2 linked regions of the Macaca fascicularis genome follow. The protein of the gene in region 2 interacts with the protein of the main gene of each other region in a biochemical or structural test. Links are inferred from orthologs where the notes say so. Each region holds a gene or a part of one and is shown on either strand. Other genes may lie near its edges.

What was found. The genes of interacting proteins can lie anywhere in the genome.
Region 1: the proteins of APBA1 (region 2) and CNTNAP4 form a complex in vitro, tested with the Homo sapiens proteins (2 studies listed by BioGRID and IntAct, with this or other methods). The link is inferred for Macaca fascicularis from reciprocal best matches to the Homo sapiens genes APBA1 and CNTNAP4.

The regions. Positions count from the first base shown.
Region 1 is NC_088394.1:72,371,122-72,375,930, forward strand, and holds the end of CNTNAP4 (contactin-associated protein-like 4), read left to right. Parts: intron 1-3,446; coding exon 3,447-3,640; 3' UTR 3,641-4,192; downstream 4,193-4,809. UniProt on the Homo sapiens protein: Presynaptic protein involved in both dopaminergic synaptic transmission and GABAergic system, thereby participating in the structural maturation of inhibitory interneuron synapses.
Region 2 is NC_088389.1:100,367,162-100,373,648, forward strand, and holds the start of APBA1 (amyloid-beta A4 precursor protein-binding family A member 1), read right to left. Parts: upstream 3,854-6,487; 5' UTR 3,714-3,853; intron 3,268-3,713; exon of another isoform or gene 2,843-3,267; intron 1-2,842. UniProt on the Homo sapiens protein: Putative function in synaptic vesicle exocytosis by binding to Munc18-1, an essential component of the synaptic vesicle exocytotic machinery. May modulate processing of the amyloid-beta precursor protein (APP) and hence formation of APP-beta.

The sequences.
Region 1 (4,809 bases), on a different chromosome or scaffold from region 2:
GTTATTCTGTTGCATTGCCAGGGAGATATACTTTTAAAGTTTTTGTGCCAGTAATATGATTATTCATATACTTGGGCAATTTATGTGGCTTTATACCTGATTCATTTGGGTGTATTTTTTATATTCATCTAGACATATATTGCTTTCAAGTAGTTAGGATTTTATTTGGACAGCAAATAATACCAGTCAAATCTTTGTGTGGATATTAACTCCCCCATGCTATTTCAGTTGCTTTTCTGTTTCTCAAATTAATGATGTGCAAATTAAAGATATAAAATATAGAATTCCCATTTAATCACCAAACATGCAAAACAAAAAACCCAAAACAAACAAAAAAACTCTATTTGAAGAGTAGTTAATAATTGTATGTCTAAAAGAAATACATTATACAGTAAAAACTCACTTAAAGCTGTAGTATTTACAATGTGTCCAAGAGTTTAAGCTAGAATTCCTGGTCAAGCAAGTTGTGTCAGTCTTGTAATATTGCTTTTTCCAGACCTTCAACCAGGATAGATTCAGGTAATAGAGACACAGAGACAGATGGAAATATAGAGCAGTGTATAGTCATCAAGCCAATGCTAGAACAAATTATTTAATCTTTAGACTATTGTTATTTTGCTGAAACATCATTGGCAAGATTTACAGAATTAAACAAGAGGTGCATTGATAAGTCATTCTAATATTATTCTAGAATAGAAACAAGTTACAGTTCATCTGTGAAATCCTCACTTAGCTCAAATTTTCAGGACAGAAACAATATGGAAGGTTTGTAGTTCAGGGGCTTGCCAGGGTCCCTGAGACTAATGATGTCTGGTTTTGGTCATTGCAGAGATTGAACTTCAGAAGCAGAGCATCTGGTAATGGCCATGTAACCTCTGAAGGCCTTGTCTGGGCCACACACAATTTATCTGCCAAATCATAGTGTATAGTCCTCCAGTGTGTTACACAATCTGGCAGAATTGTGGTAGAATCCTTTATTCATTGTCTAGTTACTCATAAATTGCACCCACTATATAATAATAATTAATCCATCCAAGGATTTTCCAGATTGGCTAATCCCCCTGTGTTCTACATCTTAGATGATTTTTTTTTACTTACAAAATGAATGGTATAAGATGGGATAATTGATTTAATAATACATTTAAAGGTGGTGGTCCAGATGTGGTAGAGGGTTTCTGGCCAGGCTACCCAGATACAGACAGATTTAGCCAGAGAGAAAGCTATATATACATCTTCATAAAAACAGATTCACACAGTGCTTTAGATGCAGCATCATAGAGGCTGGCCACATTTTATTCATAATAACTAGTTTATTTTTTATTTTTATATTTCTGGTATAACAGGTGTGATCAAAGTTTTTCTTGAGCACAACAAATCCTGACACAACACTTTCCCCAAATTAAGTGCTAAATTACATACATGGAACAAACAAGTTCCAGAGGCCGTCCCTGATTTTGACTGTCTGGATATTCTGTCTAGGCCAATGTAACATTCATTTTATAATTGCAGTTGTCTGCTGTCTATATCATATTTCGAAATTTTTCACGTTGAAATTGTTCAGAATCTTTCTCTTCAAGTCAGAGGCCTGTAACTAGCCTGTAGAAATATTTATAGCAATTCAACTGATTATTTTTTTCTAAAATGAGAAGCAAAATATGTAACAACAAATATTCTGATTTAAGTTATTCATTAATTAATGTGACTAATAACAAAAGCAATCGTATTAAGTAATGAATTCTTCAGATTTCATGTACAGAATTTGGTTACCACATTTATATTAAGCAGCAAAGAATTGCTACCTTTCTCAGGTAAGGCTGACCTAGCGAAAAATTGGCTTGGCTATTGGACATGCTATAATTGACCAGGGTGAATTGGCCTAGCAGTTTATATGCACAGGAATCTATTGTGATTGATAAAAACCTTCAAATCTTTGACTTCCGTGCACTCTGTTACAGTTGTATGCATCTACTTTAGAATAGAGTCTTAGTTTTACCATATGAGATTTGATTCACATTGCTATTTTCGTAGTACCTATTTTTGTCTAAGAAAAGGACGTTAGATTGTACCTCCACTGATCTTATCAGAAAATTCTTTAAGTATTAGGCAACTCTCACACTCTTGGTGGCAGAAAATTGTTTTCCAAGTTCAATTTTTCATTTGAAAGCTTGAATTTTATCATTCATAACATATGCTGTATAATGGTTTTTCTTGAAGTGACACATTTACTTCATTCATTTTAGAGAAAATATCCACCAAATACCCAAGTCTGAACAACCATAGTTTGTCTGTTAGTCATTCTTTCAAATAAAAATGGTGTTACATGAAGCGAAAAGCAACTAATTCAGTTCCCAACTCAAAGGTTCACGTAAGTGCTTTTCCTGGAGGCAATGATCATACTTCAGAGTGAACCAGAAGTACTTTATTTGTATTTCCCATTTTAACACACAAAATGTTAGAAAGTCTTGCAGTCAAGGGTCAGATTTAATTAAATGAATAGTTTTTACAGCTTCATTAAGGATATTCTTAAATAAATTTGGGTTTTTATGCCTTTTCCTACAATTGCCTGGCAGTGAAATGTTTTCTACTTCATGAATTCAGTGATTACTATTATTGTTTTGTGTCCTTGCCTTAATTTGTGCTAAGTGCCAGGAATTTTACCTAACCTTGTTTTATACCAAATTTGGTTCCATATTAAAATGGAAATGGAAATGTCAACACAGTGAAAAAGACATCTTAGAATTATTATGAAAATAGTTTTGAGCCCCCATGTCCTCTCAAAGTGTCCCAGGGACCACCACAGGTCTACAGATCCCACTTTGAGGACTACTGACCTAATATAATGCCAGCGTTGGTAACCATTGGCATAGTTAAGAATTGCAATACTTAGAATTTGTATTTACAACTAGAAGTGTTAAAACAACATTCCTCATATAGAAATAATTTAAGCATATCTATATATCTATGTTTTATTGGTTCAAATGATTTATTTACATAACCCATTTCTGCTGTTCAACAGTATAACAAATAATTGAATAACAATTTCATTAAAATGTTTACATATTTAATCACAAAACATGTTAATCATTTTATGATGTTGCTACTACTCTATACTTTCAAAATAATTAAAACTAATATGAAGTGGCCACATAGTCCTAGAGACATATAGTTAATACCTTGTGTTAAATATAAACGCACTAAGTAAATCCGATATAATATGCATTTAGAATAAACGTAGGTGAACCCCACAAGGCTGATAGAACTCAGAAATAAACTCAACATACAATGATACTGCTTGAACCAGAATATCTGAAGTTTTTATATTTCCAATTTGTATGTAGTAGATGCTTAAGTGGAAAATAATGTTACGATGACTTATTAAGCAATGAAGTCAGCACAGTTTCTACTTGGACAGAAATTCTGACTTTATATTTCTTTTCTCTCCCTAGGTCTGATAGCTGTTGTGATTTTTATCTTGCTTTGCATCACTGCCATAGCTGTTCGCATTTATCAGCAGAAAAGGTTATATAAAAGAAGTGAGGCAAAAAGGTCAGAGAATGTAGACAGTGCTGAGGCTGTTCTGAAAAGTGAGCTTACTATACAAAATGCAGTCAGTGAAAATCAGAAAGAGTACTTCTTCTGATTGGCAACTATGATTTAACATAAACTTATGACAGTTTGTTTTAATAGCCAGGGGCTCTCAGTGGACAAACGGATGTTCTTACACTGAATGTACAGGCAATGGGTTTGCAGCACTGCCATCTTGCCATGTCCAGTCTTGGGGTGGCTCCACCAAGCCTCGTCCAGTGATATATTTCTCATAGCATTCATTCTATGGAACAAGACATTAGATATTGCTGTTAATTTACAACTGTTCTGGTATGATCTAAAACAAGTTTAACCTGCTTAATGGCTACAGTTTTTACATGTGAAAACTGTAGCCTTGGTCTCTTAACCATGTAATACATAAGTTTTGTTAGAGGTGAAAATTAAATTTGGACTATAATGACCTTGCTTTATTTGAGAACATTTGCTGTGTTTGCTTTTGTCTTCCCATGGTGTTATTCATAGACCTGGAAATGCTTCTCAGATCCTGTTTGGCCGGTGTTTGCATCTTCAGTGGCCACAAGCATTATAAAGCCCTTTGCCTTTCTCTGTATTATATTCAATACAATACATCAATAGTCTTGAAAAATGTTTTGTTGTCGTTGCTTTGTTTGTATTGCTCATTATTCTATTTGTCTCTTCTTAACATTGTTGAATACATTTGGTTTTGAGTGTCAGACTTCAACTCTGAACATACAAGTTGTATTTAACAAGACTCAAAGTGCAGTGGTTGTTAGTATGTAATGTCTTTCCTTTTAAAAAAAGTTTTCCAATTGATTTGCTACCATTGTTTGTTGGTGACAGTACTTAAGACCCTGAGTAACGCCAGTTTCCCAAAGAATGTAAAATGTTTTCAACTAAACTGTTGATATATTTAAAAAAGTTCTTAACACAGCAAAAAAATTATTTTTTAATTTACAACTGTAATACCTCAAATGAAATATACTTAGGAGAATATTTTCCCCAAACCTATGTCAGTTCTTTATTGGTTTACATTTCTGTTTTTCTGAAGTTTATCACAAACTTTGCCTTGATCTTCAATGATTATACTTCACGAATCATCTTATATATTACCAAAAAAGAGGCAAATTGAAGTATAGAGCTCCATTTCCCATTCGGAAATATATACCCCTTCAGGTGTACATTTTGCTGTGCATAGACTTCCAGTACATACTTTTTGAAATATGAGCTGCAACCATCAGTGAT
Region 2 (6,487 bases):
GTCTGAGACACAGGAGGCAAGATGTTTGCAAATTAACTATTGTAACCCAGAGAGTTAACTTCAGATTTCATTGCTTGAAATTCTCTCAGTTTTAGCAACAATTACTTCTTCTTTGTAGGCTAAAAGTCCTATCTCCCCAAGGTACTACATACAGTTAATTCCTTTTGGACCCAGAGGTCATTTTCAAATATCTCTTACTCCTAAGTCTTCTGAAACAAACAAACAATAACAACAACCAAAATGAAAACAAAAAACAAAACAAATAACAAAAAAAAACCCTTAAGAGACTCAATAATGGTAGAGAAAAGCACTGATGCTATTTTAAGTGAAGGAAAGGCATCCATGCACAAAAAAATGGCTTGCTGCAGGCCACAGCAAAAGGTACAACCATTTACCAGAGCTGTCTCATGAACCTTATACCAGTCCAATCTTTAGAAAAGCCAGATATTGCATTTTTAAAACTATCAACCTGGGCAACGTAGCGAGACTCTATCTCTGAAAAAAATAAACAAATATCTGGGTGTGGTGCCATGTGCCTATTGTCCCAGTTATTCAGGAGGCTGAGGCAGGAGGATTGCTTGAGCCAGGAGTTTGAGGCTGCAGTGAGCTATGATCACACTACTGCACTCCAGCCTGGGCGACAGAGGAAGACCCTGTCTCAAAAAGATAAATAAAAATAAAAATGATCACGTTTATGTTAGAAAAGAAATCACTGATTCCTGAGTCATCGATTATGCTGCTGTGTAATTTCTCTTTCTCTAAACAGTGTATTTACCTGGTAATTCCTCATATTATTAAACTTTCTTGTAAGACATTTACATCCCTGGTCTTACTTGCAAATATAAAAGATGATGACTTTTTTTTTTTTAAACCAAAACCTCTTAGAATGGCTTTTAAATTCCATAAGTACTTTTCTCAGAAAGGGATTTGGCATAACAAATAAGAGAGTAAAAAACTAAGATTCAAAATTCATTTTTACAAATCTATCCTTAAATCTTGGATGAGAGCCAACAACCAACCTCATATTAAAATCTTAGAAGGCTTGACTTGAAGAACATGGGGAAATTTACTTTACATTGACACTTCAAGAACACCTAGTCTATACATCATTAAATAAGATATATGGGAAGAAAAAAAGCATATGTGGATAGCCCTAGTTTTATTATTTTCAATGAAACAACGATATCGTGCAACCTTTGCCCATAAAAGAATGCAAAACAAAAATTTTAAAAAAGAAAAAGAAACCTCTGGTGCCAACATGTTGTATATTTACTTGTGTAGCCATGACTGCTACCGGCTTTTTGAAGAGAACCGTGCAGCCAGTTTGGATTCCGACAGCAATGCAGTAGAATTTAAGGTGTTATGACTAAAATATGTCCTAAACAGGTTAAGCTAGACATACAACATTTTAATACAGTAGTGTCGAGATACTCATTCCTGTGAATACCGCAGGAGAAATACAGGCGAGGAGGAATCACACTGCCCTGGATACACATGAATATGCCATCTCCCTGCCTATCTCTACCCAACCCTACACACACCTATCTTTACCACGCAGAGACAATTAAACAGCCATAGACTCGATGCATTTCTGTGTCCTTGTTCCCACTGGGTGAGGTATTGCCAGCCTGACATTTTTCCCAATTCCCTACTAGTGGGCTATATCAGGTAGGAAAGCAGGGACTTTACTGACCTGGGACCCCATCACTGTGGGTCTTGGGAGATTTCAGTTTCCAAATGATACACGGCACCACCTAGCTATTGTGACAGCTGGGAGAGTGGATGTCACCAGCAGTAGAAATAAAGTATCCTGTTTCCTGAGGAAAACGCCCTGGCTGTGTGACGCTGACCAGGTGGGCACCAAACACTTCTCCGTGTGATATTTTTCTTCTTTTTTAAAGACTGCCCCCCGCCCCGCCGCATCTCTCTATACGTACACACCTCCAGAGTTCATTCTAAAAGAACCAATACAAAGACCATCCATCCTCTAGCCATAAGGTTTTCAGTGCTTAAATGTGGAAGGAGAAGGTCTAGCTAGCATTGAAAGTTGTGGGGACAGGAAGAGGAATCTGATCATTCAACACTATTCTCCTTCAGGTCAGACAAGAGAAAAACAATAGAAACTGCAGAGTCAGGGAGTACAAGACCCTTATGGAACAGGTGCTAAGCAGAGAAGTAGTATCAGAGGATGGAAGCCCCCTTCAAAACCGGGTACACCAGCAAGCCCAGAATGCGTAACGGTTATCCTATTTCCCTGCCATGTGCCTCAAAGCAACATGCTCACTTCCACATCCCCATGTAATGAGGCCAGAGGAAGGGGAAGCGAGAATCCCTACACTGGGCCATCCACACGCAGGAGCAGAACAGAGACTGTGCTCAGAGTTGCAGGGTCAAAATAACAAACACTGTCCCACAGTCTCAGCCGGTGACATCAAGTCAGGGCAGCGGCAGATCTCTGGGTTTGGGGCGCTGTTTGGGGAACGTGGATGCAACCAAACGCGTACACACACATACACAGAATTTTACAAACCCGCCCCTACCCCACTGCCTCCCTCCACACTTCACACACCAAGTGCATCCTGCCCACCTCACCGTTTCCATCATCACATTCTTTCTCCAGGAGAGTCAGCCGAGAGATGAGGGATCCTAGCGGGGATTCCTGGAAATGTCACCCCCCAACACCTCCGTCCGCCACCCCCATCCCCTCTGCTATACCTTTTACACACACACTCTCACACACTCACTCCTGCCATGACTGTCATCAGGCCCGCCTGCTGCGCCCGAAGCCTGGCATCTGAGCGGGCACCGGACCCCAGCCGTCTCGCCCGCAACGCCGCCTTACCCCGCCTCGCTGGCTGATGGTTCCAGGCACTGCCCCCTGGATGTCGCCTGCTGCCCCCGCTCCTCCGCACTATTGTTCCAGGCAGCCCCTCTCGCGTCCGGGGGCGCCCTTTGGCTAGGACCCGGGCTCCGTCGGGGGCCGCATCAGCGCCGGGCACCCCTTCTCACCCACCCCTCCCTGGCTGTGGTACCTTGCCTGACAGCTGGGTCCGCGGGCCCGCGGGAGCAGGCGGCGCTAGTGACAGCGCTGGTGCCAAGCCTGGGAATAAAGCTCCGCTCCAGCCGCTGCTACCTCCAGCGCCACCATCTTCTCCCGCCGCAGCCGCCGCCGCCGCCGCCGCCGGGACCGCAGCCGCCCTCGCCCAGCTCCGGCTCTGCAGCCGCCGCTCGGAACCCTCCGGTCTCGCGGCCCCACCCCCTTTCCCCACCCTCCCTCCCGCCCTCCAGCTCTCTAGCTCTCCCCTCGTGACGCGCGCCGGGGCCGGGCGGGCCTGCGAGGGAGGGCGCGGGGGAGCGCGCGCGCGCACGCCGCCTGCTAGTAGCGCCCCTGCCTCCCACGCCCACTCGCGTGCGCGCGCGGCCCGCGAGCCCGAGGCGGCGGCGCCGCCGGCGTCCTCCGTGGGCAGCTGGCCGCAGCTCCCCTGCCTCGGCGCCGGTGGGCGTGCGGGACACCGGCGCCTCTCGCCTCCCCTCGCGTCCGGGTTTCGAAGGGCCCGCCCTGCCTGTGTTCCACAGCCCTATCCTCTGGTTCCCGGCCAGACGCACGGAGGGGAAAATGCGGCTGCATCCCCGAGGGGACTGACGGGGACCTCCACCCTCCTCGGTGGCAAACCAAGGGGTCCCCAGTTTCCTAGCCAGGAGCTGTGGCCAACCTCTCTGCGAAGCAACGGGCCACGCTGCAGGACCACGAAGCCAGGCAGCTGGGTCGACTCCTGCAGGGTGTTCTCTCGTGAGTGACTCCCGAGCTTTCCCGCTTCCCAGGCCCCTTAGATACCGCCTGCGCTTCAAATCCGGAGATTGACGGCGTCTCCGGAATGCGCCGCAGTGCTGCGAGTTCCCCGCCAGGGGGAGAGCCGCGCGGGTTTGGGCCTGAGCGAAGCGGGCCGGGCTGCAGTTCTCCAGGGAAACTGCCCAGTCCGGCCAGGGACAGCGGAGAGCCTGCGGATTGTGAAGCCGGGGAAGGCTCGGCTTGGTTTTCCTACCCGCTCCTCAGTTCTGGTTGATCGGAACTTGAGAGTGTCTTTGAGCCTAGCATAGGCTATCCGCCCTAGATATGGCTCCTAGCTCGAGAGGCCACCCTTTGCAGCAGGGACCAGGTGGCAGGTGCTGTGTATTAATGAAAAGCTGTGGGCTAGACAGGCCCCGAGAGGCCTGGGCTCTGGCGCTAGCCCCACCTGTAATTAGCAATGCAATAACTAAATCATTCCCCGTCTTAGAAACACAGATTTTTCATAATAATGTTATAACGCACAAAGCCTAGTAGTTTGCAAAGCCCTCTCCAGACATATATTCTCCTCCAGTAAAATGAGGATAAGCGCTGGTTATCCAGATCCCTTGGGAAATGCATCTTTTACCACACCATGTTTCCATAGTATTTTAAGCACAATGTCTCCAGAGAAGTCTGGGGGTGTAGCCTAAAGCATTCTGAAAGTCTTGTTTTAGCTTTAATATTCGTATGAATTCTGCATTGTACTTCGTAATTTTTTTTCTTTAATAAAACAGCTACCTTCTCAAAAAGATCTTTTAGTAAAATTTAAGATTATATACTAGGAAGATGTATGCTTGTCCTGTGACATTACTCTTTTTTTTTTTCCAGTGAATACTTATTTGGCATATGTACGGGCCAGATATAGTCCTTTTCCACCAGAGCTCACAGTAGGCTGAAGGAAATAGGTATTCAACTATTAGACTGGCCAGGCACAGGGACTCACGCCTGTAATCCCAGCACTTTGGGAGGCCGAGTACGGCAGATCACTTGAGGCCAAAAGTTTGAGATCAGCCTGGTCAACATGGCGAAACCCTGTCTCTACTAAAAATACAAAAATTAGCCGGGCGTGGTGGTGCACGCCTGTAATCCCAGCTGCTGGGGAAGCTGAGGCATGAGAATCGCTTAAACCGGGAGGTGGAGGTTGCAGTGAGCCGAGATCGCGCTACTGCACTCCAGCCTTGGCGTCTCAAAAAACAAACAAACAAATAAAACAATCAGACAAAGTGCAACTGTGATAAATTCTCAACTGCAAAGGCGCTAAGGTGCACGGGAAAATCTAATGTAGACTCCAGGACTAGGTAAGGCTTTCTAAGGAAACGACATTTCAGATCCCCCAGGAGAGGCAGCAGTGAGACACTTCCAGGTAAAGGGAAGGAAATGTCAAAAGGCCCAAGCAGGTGGGGCGGAAGTGAGATGAAGCTGGAGAGGCAGGCAGCAATCAGAACCTCAGGAGACCTTGTGGACCGTTTTTAAATAATAATTTTGTCTTATGAGCCTGGAAAGTCAATGAAGGGTTGCCAAGATTTGGGAGCAGGCAAGCAGGATTACATTTCAGTTCCTGAAAGATCGCTGAGGTGGCTTGTGAGGAATTGATTCGTGGAGGGTCAGGATCCAGGGCCGAGGGAGTCTGAGCTTATCCTACTTAGTGAGTGTTTAGAGTTTTCTGTTTTTGCGCTAACTGCTCTTTTGATTGTTTTTAGTTCTTGCCTCTGCTCTCCTGTGTACTCATCTAGGAGGCTTTCAGAGTGCTTCTCTGTAATGGTTTTTGTTTTGTTACTTTTAATCCACTGCGGTTTTAGGAAGGAAATTAACTTTGTTAGAATTTCAGGTTAAATAAGAGAATATAGGTTCTGAGTGAGAGGCTCTTTTCTGTGCATACACTTACTGCTGTTTGGTTTGCTATCTCAGAGATCTTTCTGCTTATCTTCTACTTTTTGTGTTGTGTTTCCAGTTAGACTAGGTTCTTAGATAAATGAATGAGGGTTACATTATTGCTTTAATAATATCCTCGAATCTTACCTCACAGGATTTTTGTGTAAAGAAAGTATGTGAAATTTCTCTGCAAAGTATTACGTGCCATATAAAGAAAGGTAATCATTGTTAGTTATAATGGTAGCCCAGAGACCTCCAAAACTAATTATGTACCAAATGTTCATATGTGGAAATTTCCCTCCCTCCCCCACCCCTATGAAAAACACATATTCCTATTTCTTCCAGATAGCATGAATCATTGTCTTAAGTGCTATTGTTACTCTTGCCTTGGCTGTCAGGAAACTCAAAGCCAAATTTTCAGATCGTCGTAGGAAATGAGTGGATCCACATGGCATGTAGATCCATGTCTCAATCCCTTCTTTGGTCTTGTTCTATTCTATTTCTAGATTTCCTGTGCCTGCTTTATTGTTTTTCTTTTTAGTAGATCTTTCATAAGGCACTCCAATCCACCTTCTCCTGTTAACAAGGGTCAAAACTGCTATTCAAGTGTTTCAGGAAGCAGTATATAAGATACTGGCAGCCAGGCATGTTGGCTCATGCCTGTAATCCCAGCACTTTGGGAGGCCAAGGTGGGACGATTATTGGAGGTTAGGAGTTCAAGACCAGCTTGGGCAACATAGTAAGACCCCCATCTCTCAAAAAAAAAAAAAAAATTAGTGGGCATGG